Linked DNA regions of Schizosaccharomyces pombe. The gene in region 1 interacts genetically with each later gene. Each region holds a gene or a part of one and is shown in the gene's direction. Other genes may lie near its edges.

The links.
Region 2: mutations in plb5 (region 1) and cys11 together harm fitness more than expected from each alone (negative genetic interaction), as found in Schizosaccharomyces pombe (one large-scale study listed by BioGRID).
Region 3: mutations in plb5 (region 1) and ura3 together harm fitness more than expected from each alone (negative genetic interaction), as found in Schizosaccharomyces pombe (one large-scale study listed by BioGRID).
Region 4: mutations in plb5 (region 1) and dbl1 together harm fitness more than expected from each alone (negative genetic interaction), as found in Schizosaccharomyces pombe (one large-scale study listed by BioGRID).

What each region holds. Positions count from the first base shown.
Region 1 is NC_003421.2:1,740,677-1,745,484, reverse strand, and holds plb5 (phospholipase Plb5), read left to right. Parts: upstream 1-2,025; coding exon 2,026-3,897; 3' UTR 3,898-4,283; downstream 4,284-4,808.
Region 2 is NC_003423.3:846,256-849,985, forward strand, and holds cys11 (cysteine synthase), read left to right. Parts: upstream 1-1,664; 5' UTR 1,665-1,729; coding exon 1,730-1,862; intron 1,863-2,007; coding exon 2,008-2,930; 3' UTR 2,931-3,230; downstream 3,231-3,730. Other genes in the region: class 1 histone deacetylase Clr6, read right to left, coding at 3,254-3,333, 3,385-3,443, 3,491-3,599, 3,640-3,730.
Region 3 is NC_003424.3:1,384,791-1,388,983, reverse strand, and holds ura3 (mitochondrial dihydroorotate dehydrogenase Ura3), read left to right. Parts: upstream 1-1,838; 5' UTR 1,839-2,142; coding exon 2,143-3,474; 3' UTR 3,475-3,627; downstream 3,628-4,193. Other genes in the region: ATP-dependent DNA replication ligase Cdc17, read right to left, coding at 1-347, 410-917, 958-1,040; disulfide relay system thiol oxidase subunit Mia40, read left to right, coding at 3,898-4,192. UniProt on the Schizosaccharomyces pombe protein: In the de novo pyrimidine biosynthesis pathway, catalyzes the stereospecific oxidation of (S)-dihydroorotate to orotate with reduction of flavin and the transfer of electrons to ubiquinone, which is part of the respiratory chain.
Region 4 is NC_003421.2:831,557-835,221, reverse strand, and holds dbl1 (protein Dbl1), read left to right. Parts: upstream 1-1,842; 5' UTR 1,843-2,221; coding exon 2,222-2,875; 3' UTR 2,876-3,156; downstream 3,157-3,665. Other genes in the region: aah3 (GPI-anchored glycosyl hydrolase family 13 protein), read left to right, coding at 1-1,256; mitochondrial LYR family protein Lyr2, read right to left, coding at 3,180-3,665.

The sequences.
Region 1 (4,808 bases):
GTATTTGTGATTTTGGACGAGTTGTTGCTTAACTTGTATTGCGAAACTTACTATAATACAGTATTCGTTGACCTTAATACCTCAACTGCCTTTGCTACGCTAAGGATTCATCACATACCGATGACACTTCAGTAGTTCTTTAAATTTATTTAAGACGTACAAGCCAGTGCATAATCTAGGTTTACAAAACTCTTTGTTATAGCTCCTTAGACACGGGAACTAAGCAAAGGAGGTATACAGTCTGGATACACGGGAACTCTTAAACAAAGTGTAAAATAATGTATCTCTTAATAACTCTGTCGAAATGGTTATATATCACATTGTGAGCTTGTTACAATACCTTATAGCTTTGCATTTAGTTCAGTGCAGTTTCTTATGTTTGTGTTTTGGGTTTGTAAAGTATGATAAAACGAGAGAGATATTTTGACAAACTGATGAAATTCAAGATCTACTGTATCAGCTTATAACTGGAATAGAAAGAAAGAATATAAAGGCTACAATGTAGCCATGTGCGGTCAACGTTTAGACTGCCGATCTTATGACCTAACTAAAGCGATCGCTATTCAGATCCATTTCTGCTTGTAGGGATGAGACTTTGTAGAATAGCAAATCTGTAAATTAACAAATCTTCAAATTTTGTTGCATCAAGCAATAACTTCTACTCTATCTGTTTCTATCAATGGTTTTTCATATCTCGAATTGAAATATTTCCAATGTGAATCAACTAAAAACATCGCACCCCATTACCTTATTGAATATTCGAATTTGGGGATTTCCTAGAAGAGTTGGACATTAAATGACGTTAATAGAAGTAAAAAAAAAATAGAAAGTCGTTTCATCATGGACTTGTCGATGATTTGCATTACCAGACAATTTTACATCCGTGAGTTCGCAGCAATCGGGTTGGTATCCGTTTATAAATTTAGCCGTTGATATTCATCCCGTCATTTAAAGCTGAGCCTAGGTTGATCTAAATATTCCATTATAGAATCGCTGAAATATTTATTGAATAGGGCATAAATGGTACCCATGAATGCTAATGATAACTAGGCAATCCAACTCCAACTGGCATCTAAAGACTTAGTAATATGACCACCATTTCATAATCTCACGGTGCTACATATAGAAAATCGTTAACATCATAGATGGCATCTTCGGAGTTCCTTCTAGTCCACGCCGAATTGCGGATCAAGGTAAGCAGATCATGAGAAACGTGGGTCATGCGAAAAGTGAGTCTACAAGTGAGTTCATCCTCAAAAGCCTATATATATTATATATATAGCACTTGGGAATAAATGAATAAAGGTTGCAACTTTAGTGATTGAATCGGTAAATCCCGTTAAAACAAACAATCAGTGATTCATCCTTCTTTAGTGTGATCTGTGTAGGTAAGCAAGCAATTTACAAATGCCTAGAAAGTTGGCAAGGCCGGTTTGTGTTTGGCAAGGAAATGAGCAAAAACGTCTGTCTATTCCTAAAACGGACGGTGGGTAAGCAAAATCCCAACTTGAAAATTTGAATTGGGATTTTTTTATTTCAATGGAAAAAGATAGGTTAAATCATAAAAAAGAACATGATATTATTTTCTTGGAAATATGTCGAAATCCTGTCTCATCCCAACCTTTTCGACAAAACTAGGTGTCCTGATGGAAATATAGTTTAAGCTCATCGCTTGCCGAACCGCTCCATCAAATGCTTAATTTGCTTTTATTGACATTGTAGCTCGACGGACTCTCTAGATATCTAAATATTTTTCGTTGAACTTACTAGATTGGGAATTGACAATTGAAAGCTCTTTAATTGATTACTTTCATTGTCTTGATTTTTTTCATTCTCAGAAAATTTCAAAAAATTCAGACTTTAGAAACTCGCTGTTTGTTAATCACTCTCTTGCTTTTTTTGGATTCAGAGAAAATTGAAAAATTCGAACTTTTTTTAAAAACGAATCATTGACCGTATTCTATCCTTTTATCCTTTATTAAACCAACCTTGCTTTTTTAATTTTTATTTTATTTTTTTTTAAACATGAAATTATCTTCCTTTGGATTATTTCTCGCTCTCCAGCTTTTGCCGGCCTTGGGCCTTCCTTCTCGTATCGATGAAGTAGACGTTTCAGACCCAGAACTAATCGGATTATTGAAACCCGATAACGTTGATAAGCCAGCAAACTCTATACCCCTTTCCAAGCGTAGCACAAGCCCATCGTATGCGCCTTATACTGTTGCTTGCCCTAGTGGCTCTCTGCTTCGACCTGCCTCCGATGGCCTTAGTACTGGTGAACAAGAATTTGTTGACAAACGTGTCTCAAAGGTTAACAGTGCATTGGAAAGCTTTATTTCAAAAACCGGCTTAAAAATCGATACAAAAAGTGTGCTGAATGACACAGATGGCCCTCGTTTGGGAATTGCAATCTCTGGCGGTGGATTTCCTGCCATGTTAACGGGAGCCGGCGCTATTAATGCATTTGATGCTAGAAATGGTAACACTACGTCTCTTGGTGGTATTCTTCAATCTTCCATGTACCTTACTGGTCTTTCTGGTGGCTCTTGGCTTGTGGGATCTGTTGCGGTTAACAACTTTGCCAATATTACTTTCTTGCACGACGACGTTTGGAACCTGGACCACAGTCTCTTCGCTCCCTATGACGACGCTTTTGAGAACTTTTATATTTACCAAGAGTGGTTTGAGCAAGTTCTGCAAAAGAAGAATGCTGGATTCAATGTCTCCATTACTGACCTTTGGGGCCGTGCTTTGGCTCTTAAGCTTGTCAATCCTTTGACTGGAGGTGCTAATACTACATTCTCTAGTGTAACAAATGAAACGTGGTTCCAGGATGGTGAATTTCCCTTTCCCATCATCATTGCTGATAATGTCATAGAGGGTGAAACCGTAATCCCTTTGAACGACACTGTCTTTGAATTTACACCCATCGAATTTGGTACTTGGGACACTGGGGTGGAATCATTTATACCCATGGAGTATACAGGTACACACCTTATTAATGGCATTCCTCTTAATGAATCCTGTGTGCGTAATTTCGACAACGCTGGTTTCCTCATGGGTACCTCTTCAAATGTTTTTAGCGGTATCCTTCCTGCGACAAATGCATCACTCACCGCTAGTAATAATACCTTTAACAATGCTGTCCTTAGTTTCCTCGAAATGCTTGCCGAAGATCAATTGGATGTAGGTCTTTATCCCAACCCTTACCAAGGTTATGGAAATGCTTCCAATACAACCACTACCAATCCCTTGGAGCCGTATCCCATTATTGAATTAATAGACGGTGGCTCAGATAGTGAAGGTATTCCCTTTTGGCCCTTGCTTCATCCACAAAGAGACGTAGATGTTATTTTTGCGATTGACGGGGGTTATCAAAGCGCAACGAGTGGATGGCCAGATGGATCGTCCCTAGTTTCTACATATGAAAGAGTTTTAGCCACTAACTCCTCTGGCGTTCGTGGTTTCCCATATATTCCTGATACCAACACATTTTTGGCTCTTGGTTTGAACACTCATCCAACTTTCTTCGGTTGCGACGGTAGAAACACCACAGCCGGAAACCATACCGTTAATGACGATACTCCTCCTCTTGTAGTTTACTTCCCCAACTATCCTTGGACTATGTATGCAAATGTCACTACCTACACTGTTCAACTGGAAGATACTTTGTCCAGTGGAATGATTGAAAATGCCGCTGTTGCTGCTACCCAAAATAACAGTGATTCATTTGCTGTCTGCGTTGCATGCGCTCTCGTTCAACGTTCCTTGGAACGCAAAAACATGTCGACTCCAAGTCAATGTGCTTCTTGCTTTAATCAATACTGTTGGAATGGAACAATTGCAAGCACGACCGTTACTACATATGCACCTACAGTTCTGTCAGCCAAGATTTAGTATGCAACGCTCACGACAATCCATTTTGTTCGATCTTTTCCATGGTAGCATAGAGCGTAAAGCATTGAAACACTAATGTTCATATATTCACTAATCTAAGAACCAGCAAAAGTCGGCTCTTTACTTATTGCTCATAAACAACGAGAAGGAAGATATAGTGAATAAATATAGGAATGAAAAAAGCTTCAAGAAGCCATTAACACCATCGAATTTGAATTCCTAAGCTCTAAATGACACTAATTTATGTAACCTTTGCAGAAATGTTTCAACTCAAATACTGTGTCAGCAGTAGTCCAGCACGCTACGATATACTACGTTGCGTAGCACTATATGTCATGCTAAAATATACATAACATTAGTTTATTGATGATTGTAGCTGTTTGTCCATCTATCTACACAAGTTACACATTGGTAGCAACTAGAGAAAAATATAAATAGAGCTACCACTGAACCTCATTCCTCAGTTCAGTTATTGGCTATATCGGTGACCGATACTACTAGACTTTTTATAACAATAAATATAATATTATTAGTTAACAAAGCGCATACCGCTATGTTGTAAATCCCTAGAAATCTCGCCGCAGTGCTATATATCGTTAAACCAGATACCAAACTGCGTAGCTGACATTATAATTATACTACAACGTTTGCTTCTCAAAAACGTTTTAAGGAAAGCTAAGTTAGGGTAAATAAAAAGGGCAGTGACAAAATAAATGTGTCAGAAGCAATTGCATTTTGAAAATGAGTTTTCGAATTTTAACTTTTACCTACTATTATTAAAGAGAGAAGTCTTCTTTGAAAGAAATTGCTCGTTTTTTATGTTGAACGGCTGAAATTGGGCTCCAGAGTGAAAATTCTTGATTTCGCTGTTTCGTTTGTCGCAATTATAGCAATTAATTCGCGCATGTATT
Region 2 (3,730 bases), on another chromosome or scaffold:
CATATTCAAGTTTGTGTTTTCAGCATGCGAGCTGGGATGCGAATCGGTTTTAATTGTAACATGACTACCTGTATTTATATATTGTAACTGGAGGTAAAATAAACATTAATACTTACGTATGCCATGGCTTGCTTTTGCCAGCCCAGTTCGGTTTTTGTATCCAAAAAGCTCGGTTTTGCCGGGGAAAGGGATGGTACGGAAAGTGTTGCTGATGATGTTAAGCGGGTGAATATTGCTAAAAAGAAGTAATAAATAATAGTGTGTTGAAGTAACTGAAATAAAAAAGGATTGGAGCAGTTAAACTAGCTAAACATTTTCATCTCTTTCTCTAATTCATTTATTCCTTCTTGTGTAAATTTATTATTTATTTTTTGCAACTCTTATATTGCACTAGATTTCATTCGAGTTCGTAAAGTTAGAATTACAAATACACAAAAACGCAAAGGTGTAAGCTACGCAGTTTGGTATCTGATTTAAGGATACGTAGAACTGCGGTGAGTTTTCCTTGTGGTCTATTTATATTACAATACACAGGTTGTATAAGTAGCAACTGAGTATAGGTATTGTATTAACTGGGTTATAATGTTACCTATCACTAATATAGCTCATAACTGAACCTCGTTCCTCAGTTCAGTGGTAGCTCTATTTATAGTATTCAGATAATATAGATCTTAATAGATTATCATCAAGATTAATCTCCATATCGTATCATACATGGTACGATATATAATTAGAACATATGACATATAGTGATACGCAACGTAGTGTATCATAGCGTAGTGTAGTATTGCTGACAAAAGGCAATAAATTACGAGATATAGCGGATAATTTTTTTTCATCTGTGAATTTCGCTATTATAAGTTTTCATTATGAAATCAAAAGATCATGACAACAACACTTGTCATATAACAAACAATTTTTAAAAAATAATAGTTTTATAATATACAAATAAACGCTTTCAATAGTTATTCCGTAAAAAATTTATTGGAAACCTCCAATGTTCTCTTACTTTGCTTTCTTTATACGCAACGACAATCAAGGAGTTACTGAAATGTGATTTTCTTGTTAATAGACTAGAAATCAATCAAACAGCAAGCGTTCAAACGAGTAGCCATTGTGTCGATATAGTCGAACATAGCCGTACAATTTTTAATATTAGTAGGAATAAAATGCTTGAGGAAAAAAATTTGACAACGCAATAGAAAAAAAAAAAAAAATAAAAAAATAAAAAAAAGTAAAAAAATAAAAAAAAGTAAAAAAAAAAAAAATAATAAAAAAAATTAAAAGAGTAAAAATTAATAAACGTAAAAATAAAATAAATAAAAATTAACCAATTAATAAATATTATAAACGTAAAAACCTTTCTCAAATAATAACCCTTATAATACGCTATTCATTCTATGTCCTTTTCACCTCCATCCCCATCTTTGCATTCCTCGTTACAATTACTTAAACACATTTAACAATATCACATCCGTACATCCCATTAAAGACATTGATAAAGAATTTTAACAATGGACGCCTTATCGTACGACTTTCTGTAGTTTTAAATTCTTCATTAAAGTAAAGAATTGCGAATTCCACTATTTGCCGGTGTTTGAATTCCGCGTGACGATCGCGTCATCTTCTTCATAAATATCACCTATCCTACTACAGTGCTCTTTGCCTTCGCCCAAGTGTTTAGAGGAAATTACTGTGATATACAGTAATTCGCAGTTAGTACTACAACATGGCTACTAGCGGTATTCAAACGAAGGTTCCAGGAATCGTTAGCGGATTCATTGGGGCAATTGGTCGTACTCCTTTAATTAGACTGAATACGCTGTCGAACGAGACGGGATGCAATATCCTTGCCAAAGCTGGTATGTTTTTGATATAGGGCGTTGTTTAATGGGTCTCGTTTTGCTAAACAATTTTGAAACGTCGAGGTTTCTCAATTGAATGGCAATCCTATACCTTTATTTCTTTTTAATTGCTTTCATGTATACTAATTGCAAATTTTTTAAGAATTCCAAAATCCCGGAGGAAGCGTCAAGGATAGAGCTGCTTACTACGTGGTACGCGATGCCGAGAAAAAAGGAAAACTCTCTAGAGGTGGCACAATTGTCGAGGGGACTGCCGGTAACACTGGTATTGGTCTTGCTCACATTGCTAGAGCAAGAGGTTATAAATGCGTGATTTACATGCCAAATACCCAATCTCAAGCTAAAATCGATACCCTTAAGTTTTTGGGTGCCGAGGTTCATCCCGTACCTGTTGCTCCCTTTTCCAACCCTCTCAATTATAACCATCAGGCCCGTCGTCACGCTGAGTCTACTCCGAATGCTTCTTGGACTGATCAGTTCGATAACGTCGCTAACTTACTGTCTCACTACGAAACCACTGGTCCTGAAATTTGGGATCAAACCAAAGGTACCGTTGACGGCTTTACCTGCTCTACTGGTACTGGTGGTACTTTTGCCGGCGTTACCAAGTATTTGAAGGAGAAGTCCGACGGTCGTGTTGCTTCTTTCGTGGCTGATCCCCCTGGAAGTGTTTTGTATAGCCATATCAAAACGAAGGGTAAGCATCCTGACAACAAGGGTTCTTCATTTACCGAAGGCATTGGTCAAGGTCGTATTACTGGAAATGTCCAACCTGTTTACGATCTCATTGACGATGCTATGAAAATCCCTGACGAAAAATCTATTAACATGTTCTTTCGTTTGTTAGACCAAGAAGGTCTTTTCTTGGGCGGCTCTTCTTGCTTAAATGTGGTCGCTGCTGTTGAAATGGCTAAAATATTAGGTCCTGGCAAGACGGTGGTTACAATTCTTTGTGATTCTGGTCACAAGTATGCCACTCGTTTATTCAGTCGCTCATTCCTTGAAAGTAAAAAATTATTTGATGTAATTGAGCCACAATACAAGAAGTATATTGTACTTCCTTAATTGTTTTGACCTTTTACTTCGGATAGACATATAATTACTACTACCTTGTGATTTCCGTTTCTTCTTTCTTTGTGCGTTAATTTTTTGGCTATTCCTTTTTTTTTAAAACCACAAGTCACATCTAGAGTATAGAATATAAAGTGTTTGTTATTATATGTAATGAGCATTTTCAATTTAATGCTGAAGTCTAATTATGCTGGAGAATTCTTATAAATAAGGGTATTTAAACATAATAGCTTTTATAGTATTCATGATTCAAATAACACAAAAAAACCGAGTATAATGGATTCAAACACCATGAACATACAAAATTTTATATAGGTCTATACGCGCTCATCCATAATCTCTTCTTTCGCAATGTTCTGCTTTTCGGCATTTTCAAACGTAAAGTCACCGGGAGTTTCTAATGTAAGAGTATTTGTTAGCACATTTTTCGATAACCGCTTATACTTACTATGCATTTGAACGCTAGGTGCAAAAGATAAGTTTCTCAAATTTTCGATGATTTCAGAGCTAAATTTGGTCAGCCTCGTAAGAATAAAACTCAAAAGGTAGCATACGTTATCGAATCAAGATACTGCCGAGTGTTATGGTTTTCCATATTGTTTGAAAGAACATTGAGCTTGTAATCGGGACCGTAATATTGTAAATAGTCATTATAAGGAAGGTCTTGGATGGGTTAATAAACAATTTACGTATTGGTACTTACTTTCATCAAGCTCTTCGCCGGCTAAAAGACCAGTTTCATAAGTCCAGACACGGGCAACATTCCGTACAGTATATCCACCTCCTCCAACGCA
Region 3 (4,193 bases), on another chromosome or scaffold:
TGGAGGCGTAGCTTGCCTTCCAAAGCTCGAATCAAATATTTAGGTTCTGCACCTTCACAGGAACTCAATAGCCGCTTGATCACTCCAATTTTTCTATTTTGGGATTGGTTTCCGCTCATTTGAGCAATTTTTTTTAATGAGTCAAATAAAAATGGAATTGTCAGCGCTGCAGGTTTAAACATAGTGGGTTGATTTTGACGGGATGTTTGAGCTACAAGACCAAGATCACCAACTTTGTGAAACGATAGTTTAATCTGTTGAAGCGTTTGCCCTGTAGACTCTCCAATAGCCTTCATTATAATGCTTTCGCCAATTCCTAGCTCTAGTCCCGAGTAATCTGGGCCCAACTAATGTAAAAAAAGACGTTAGTACTGAGAAGGAGAAATCCTTTAAAACCAAACGTTCATACCTTATTGATACTTAAATACACACAGGCCAGTAAATCGCTGGGATGGTCGCGAAGAATTCCAAAAAAGTAAGTCCCCATTATATCAATGATTTCCAACCGTTTGCTAGTATTCTCTATTTTTGTGAATGCTTTTACCATTTCAGCAAATGTTGCATGACCTTTTAACTTATCATTGCGAGCATTGGACTCTAACGGTGGTTCTTTGATTGGCAAAGGTATTGGAGTAGATGCCCCAGAATCGTTGTTACTAGATACGGCATCTGAAGAAGAGGAGGATGAACCTAAAGTCTTTTGCTTTTTTGCCTCAGACACAATATTATTTTCACGCTCAACATTTTGAGTTCCAGTGTCGTCGTGGTTGTTGTGTTTCGACTCGTCGACTAATTTCACTGATTCGACCTTTCTCTTTTCGCTTGTGCTTCTCCCATCAACATTTTTGGAATCAGAAGACGATTGAGAAACCTCCACGTGCTCGCTTTTGTGCGAAGCAGAAGAAATGAAGAAGTTGCTATATGGGTTAGTCAACGTCTGTCTTCTATCTAACAAACCTAATGTCTGACTGCCTTGTCGACATCCGTATGTACTGATTGACTTGTTTAAAACGAGGAATTTGCGAAAATACTGTTCGCATAACAATCAAGTCAACGAGTAAAGAATTTCATAAGATTTGACAATAGTGAGGGTACACCTGAAGAACAAGTAACACGTGTACGATATTTGTAGTTTAAGGACAGTGAAAACGAAACCATTTTTTTCTAAGTCTATATAGATGAAATTAATTTTTATGATTATAACAGGATAATATAAAAGCTATTTATCATTGATATAGTATGAGTGTTCCTTGTCTCATTCATAAATACTATTGACTTAATCAACTCTCTCCCAACGCTCTGTACATCATAAATACAGCTAGAAAAAATGAGAAGTTGAATTGTATAGAAATGCTTTAGTCATACCAGAAATGAACAATTGCCTGTATCAACGAACGTAATAGAAACAATTTGGAAATACATTGCTAGAAGTTTATCAACTAGATTCTAACCATTTAAAAAAAAAAGAAATTTAAATCAACAAAAATTAAAATAAATTCCTAATAGGCTTATTCGCTAATGTGTAGTGGTTTGTAGTTTTTTTGCAAAAAGCTGTTCGCACTTGTTTTTCAAGTGGATTTTGTCCTTAAATTTTTAAAATTTTTCTTTTTCAAATTTTTTATGAAATGTTAATTCGAAAGCAAAAACTATCATAAAATTGTTTATAACCATCGCTTTATTTACAAAACTCATAGTCAAATTTCGACAGCCCGGCATTACTAAAAAAACATGTTACCTGTTACAGGTAACATTCAATATAAACATTCAATTTTTGATTTTTGTTCTTTCTCAGAGAATATACCTCTGCTAGCACTTGGAGAAATTTTTTCGGTTCTGAAATCTTTGTTTTCGTTGAAATCTTATTAGAACCAAGTTCTCCATTTTATATAAATTAACACTTCTTGTCTCTAGGTGGATAAAGAAACGGATTGACGATTCTGTTCTGATCCTTAAATCCATATTTTTATTTTTTGGTTCTGTTTATTTTTTCTTGGGTTTGTTGTGTTTGGAAAAAAACTGGTGTTTAAATATATTAAGCATAAACTATTATAAAACTTCATTTTATTATTTTATCATTCATATTTTTTTCAATTTCGTTTTGAAAATTTTTTATTTAAGCCGAATTCTATTAAAAATACTAAAATGTATCAACGATCTTTGTTTCGCGGTGTCGCTCAGGGTTTAAAGCGCTCCTCTGTACGTTTTCAATCTACCAGCTCTGGCTCTTCAAATGGCAATTTCTTTCTCCGTCATTGGAAGCTTTTGAGTGTTATTGGTAGTTTTACTGCCGGCGTTGCCATTTACGACATGTCCGATGTTCGTAGTTTTATCCATGGCCGCATTGAAATGCCTCTCTTTCATGCTTTCACCACTCCTGAGTTTTCTCATCGTGTCGCCATTCTCGCTGCCTCTTGGGGTATAACACCGAAGGATCGTGTAGCTGATGATCCATCTCTTGCCGTTGAAGTTTGGGGTAAGAAATTTTGCAATCCCATTGGTCTAGCTGCTGGTTTCGATAAACAAGCCGATGCTATCTCAGGTTTGTTGAACTTCGGGTTTTCCTATCTTGAAATTGGCTCGGTCACACCTAAACCTCAACCTGGTAATCCTAAACCACGCTATTTCCGCCTTAAGCCTGATTTGTCTGTAATCAATCGTTACGGTTTTAATTCTATCGGCCATGATGCCATCCTTGCTAAGATTCAAAAGCGCGTTCGCAAATACATTGCTAAGACATCTCCTCAACTATTAAAACAGTTTGATGCAAATCCCGCTTCTTGCACTGATCCCGCTGTCCTTGGCGTACCTCGTAGTTTAATTCCTAACAAGTTCCTTGGTATCAATTTAGGCAAGAATAAGAACGGTAACGAGATTGAGGATTATGTTGAAGGTGTTCGTACCTTTGGTAACTTCGCTGACATTCTTGTCATTAACGTTTCCTCTCCTAATACCCCTGGTCTTCGTAACCTACAAAAGAAATCTGCCCTCTCAACTTTATTGACTGCTGTTGTCAGTGAGCGCAATAAATTGAACTCTCCTCATCCTCCCGTACTTGTAAAAATTGCACCTGATTTGAACGAAGAAGAACTCACGGACATTGCCGATGTCCTCAAAAAGTGCAAGATTGACGGTGTGATCGTTGGTAATACTACCGTTCAACGCCCTAAGACCCTCAAATCAACTAGCCATGTTGAAGAGACGGGTGGTCTTTCTGGACCTCCTCTCAAACCTATCGCATTAAATACTCTTCGCACACTTCGTAAGCATCTTTCTTCCGATATTCCCATCATCGGCTGTGGTGGTATTTCTTCTGGCAAAGATGCTATTGAGTATGCTCGTGCTGGTGCAACTATGGTTCAAGTTTATACTGCTTTGGGATATGATGGTCCTGTAATTGCTCACAAGATTAAGCAAGAGATTCTTGCCGAGCTTAAGGGCAAACGTTGGGTTGACATAATTGGCAAGGAAGAATAGATTGGGATGTCAGTATATTTCTTTTAAAGAAAAAATTCAGTGTCGTTTACTGGTACATTATTATAGTAAAAATTTAACATATTATAGAAAATAATACTCACGTTCTTCTAATTAAATATTATAAATGAATTACCTTTTGTTTTGCATACCTAAGTTTGCTTGTGAAACTATTATGTCGCTAGTTTAATTCTATTATGAAATTAGTCATTCAGGCATTTCTTAGTAATCTCGTAAATCCTGCCAGTCTTGCTTGTCTTACATTTGTGAATACCTATTTACTTAAATCTGATTTAAAAAACATGCAAACTTATATAAACTTAGAATGAATGACAAAGTTACGTTCTTGTAAGATCGTCGCCGCTTTCTGACCATTACGCAGACATTAGAAGTTCAGAGCTCAACTTCCCATAAATCAAAAAAACCATGTTTGCTAAAAACTTACTTTTCAGATTTCCAAAATGTATAAGGATTAACGGTTACAATAATATGAGAAGGTCTCTACTGCAGAGAAATGGATTTCAAGCAGGCATTTGTCGAAAATTTGGTACTGCAACCAAAACTGATGTATGGAAAGGCCGTTTTTTGCCTATTGTATCTGGCGTTGCAGCTGCTTCTTTGACTGCTGGATATTTACTTGGAAAAAACACTTCAAATGCATCATCGAGTCAAGATAATGACCATCCTGTTGTAGGCGAACATGTCCATACGGAAACACAATG
Region 4 (3,665 bases), 910 kb from region 1:
TTGCTCCTCCGCTAGCAGATGCTGACTATTCATCTCTTAATCCTTTTAACAAGGAGAGCTACTTCCATCCGTACTGTCTTATTGATTGGGATATCACAGATAATGAGACGAACGTAATGGATTGTTGGCAAGATTCTGGTGTATTGTTGGCCGATTTGGATGTCGAAAGTTCAGACGTTTCTTCCTATTTGAGTGATCATTTCAAAAGTCTTATTTCTAAATACGATTTTGATGGACTGCGTATTGATGCTGTGAAAATGATGAACTACACATTCTTTCCTGATTTCGTTGATGCTACGGGTGTTTACAGCGTTGGTGAAGTTTTCTCTTATGATCCTGATACTATGTGTAGTTACATGAGTGTCCTTCCTGGAGTTACCAATTACTTTTTGCAGTTGTACATAAACTTCTCTTTTACTGCTACTGGTGCTGGATTCACTCTTATTCCCACTTACCAGGAGGTAATGGCTTCAAACTGTTCAAAATATGATAGTACTTTAATGTTGACTTTTATCGAAAATCACGATTTGTACAGATTTCCTTATTACACAAGTGACCAGTCACAGATTATGGGGGCTTTGTCATTTGTGTTGATTTGGGACGGCATACCCTCAATTTTCTACGGACAAGAACAGGGATTCAATGGTGGTGAGGATCCTGCTAATCGTCCTGCACTTTGGCTTACTGATTACGATCAATCAAACCCGTACTATACCGTTATTAAAACGATGGTTGCATTTAGAAAGTTTGTCATTACTCAGGATCCGGATTGGGTCACTTCCACATATCAATCGATCGAATCTGCTGTTGATCACTATGTTGGACAAAAAAATGATGTTCTCGTCATGTTCAATAATATGGGAGTTACCAACAACCTTACAATTTATGAAGTTGAGACGAATTACACTGCCAATGAAGTAGTCTCTGATGTCTTCGGTCACAGAACTTTAACCGTTGGTGCCGATAAAACCTTGACTGCCAGTATGACCAACGGATATCCCTTGATTATGTATCCACATTCGAAGATGTCTGGTTTTACATTACCAACTGTCAATCGTACAGTCATGCCATCTACATCGGCAACTGCCACAACCACTGTCTATACCTCTTATTACTCTCCTTCTTATTCTGCCAGATCATTTACTGGTACTGGTAGTATATTTACGATCTCTTCATCATCTAGACTTATCCTTTCTTTCAAGACTTTAGTTTTTGGCTTGGGTGTTACCGCAATGCTCTTTGTTTTATTCTTCTAGAATGCCCAAATAACCGCGTTAATTTTTAAAATTTTAACAATTTGCGTTTTTTTCGTCAAGGAAGGTCATTTTTTGGGTTGAATCTAATAACCATATAATGAGAATGAGTTAATTTATGCCTACAGCTTATTCTTGTTCTGATGCTTTAATCTCTCACTTGTTATTATTTGTCTTTGTAAACCTTTTTTTATCATACATATCTTTTAAACTGGCATATCTATTGTCTTGGAGCAGAAATGAAAAAAATTATCTGCCTAGTGGAATAGTCAATGAAAAGTAATATTGCATTTTTTAACAACCAAATGAAAAAGTACAGTTCTTATGCGTAGTTTCGCTTTACATCAAAAACATTTGCTTACATTGGTAAGTAAAAATAAAAAAATTTATCGAGTAGACATGTTGTTAGTATATTAAGGTGTAGGTCATCCAATATCACCATAAGCTCATAAAATTTGTACTTAAACTTATATTCTTTTCTAACGCTTTCATTTAAATTTAATAGTTTTTTGATGGAAAAGTCACATAATTGCAGGTGTTACTTAACATTGGTTTACGTTACAATCATTGAACATTTCTAAAATTCCCCATTCCACGGACCCGTATTCATATTCCATTTGTAATTAAAGAAAGTTTTGTTCTTGGATAAAGGTAACCAGTAGTTACTAAAAAGTTCGAACTTTTGGGACCTTCAGATGTCTTTAACCTAAACGACCGCGTAATTTGCTATTGTTTACATGTTGTGTTTCAACTGCTAAATTAACAGGAGAAGGAGAATAATTGTAAGCTAGCAGATACTGTGTGGAGCGATCTTTGTCGAACAGGCAGTATTCGTTTTGTCTGGAGACCTTACCTGAGATTCTGATACTAAACGTTGTAATCATCTTAGAGTAACTGGATCACTCGTTTAATTCTTTAAAAGTGAACTGAAAAATATTTTTACCATTTAACTCATTGCACGTTTGAGGATGCAAGATTCTTCCAAAAATAAACAACCATGCGTCTCATGGAAAGTTTCTCCTTTAAAAGCGAAAGCCATGTCTCCTGATGATGTCTCAAGGCTTTTTTGTAAATCCAGTACTAGTAGCGCTACTCGGAAGCATGATCCTTTTCATAAGCTATGGGATCGCTTACAACCAAAAGCACAATCCACTATTCAACGGACATCTTCATTGCCTGTTCCTTCGTCAAGTAATTTTAAAGAGAGATTAAATAATATAGGAGGACTTAAGAGGTCAAGGACATTGGAAAGCTCCTATGAAGATGAAACAGAGACTGCAAATAAGCTGTCACGGGTTTCTAGTTTGGTGAGCGTGATACGACAAACTATAGATCGCAAAAAATCACTAGAAAGAAGGGTAAGGGAAGAACAAGAAGAGAAGACAGATAATGAGGATGATAATGATGTCGAAATATCTACTCAGGAATCCCTGGAAAACAATGGTTTAGCGGAAAAGAAGGATGATACTTCATCACTTGCTACGTTGGAAGATGACATTGAGGGCCAAGAATTTTCGTTTGATGACCAAGATTTACAAATGCTTCAGGACATAGAAGACCAATGGCTCAGTTCTCAAAAACAGCAAGGTTCTCCTCTAACATCAGATCATATAAGCAAATAGAAAACGCTATTCGTAGTTTGACGGTTGGGCTAATGATTGTTGTATTTCCGCAAAGTATACCATGTAAATTTTTAAGCTTGTTATTTTGGGAAAAGAGTTTCGCAAGCACAATGTGAATACTACTGTATATGTACTGCCGCGATTAAGAACTGCAATGCACGAATTGCTTGCTTTACAACTTTATTACGTCTCCAAGGCGAGTGTATGTTTCTAAAATTTTTTTATGTTTGATATATACAAAATAATAATAATTATGATATTCGTCGTAAACTTCTCTCAGAAGCTAATTAAAGAATTAAATACATCAAGGTGAAGAGCGTCGAGATACCTTCCAAAAGTTTAGATATCTATTTTCGAGTTTTTGTCTAGCTGCTTCTAACTCAAGCATGTTGTAAAATTGCGAAACGATATGCCAATTTTTTGATTCTCGTTTGTAAATAGAATCGAGATCACTTAAAACCATTTGTATGCATTTATGAATCTCATCAGCATACCCAACATCCTCCTCTGAAATGTATGCCTTCATAAATTCATCTTCAAGTTTAGCATGGCGTAGCATACAGCTCATGCTTTGGATGAGACGATGTTTATTCTCTTTCATAGTTATCCTTTTTTTTAACATTCCACTTATTCTCTGACTTTGAGGCCAGAATTTGGGGCGTAAAAACGTATCTCCTCCAGTAGTACTTACTAAATGATATAGCACTTCACCATTGCGCACATAATTAAATATTGAATTGGACTTTAGCTTTTTTGTTTTCGTATGCGGTTTTGTTATCCCAACATCTCC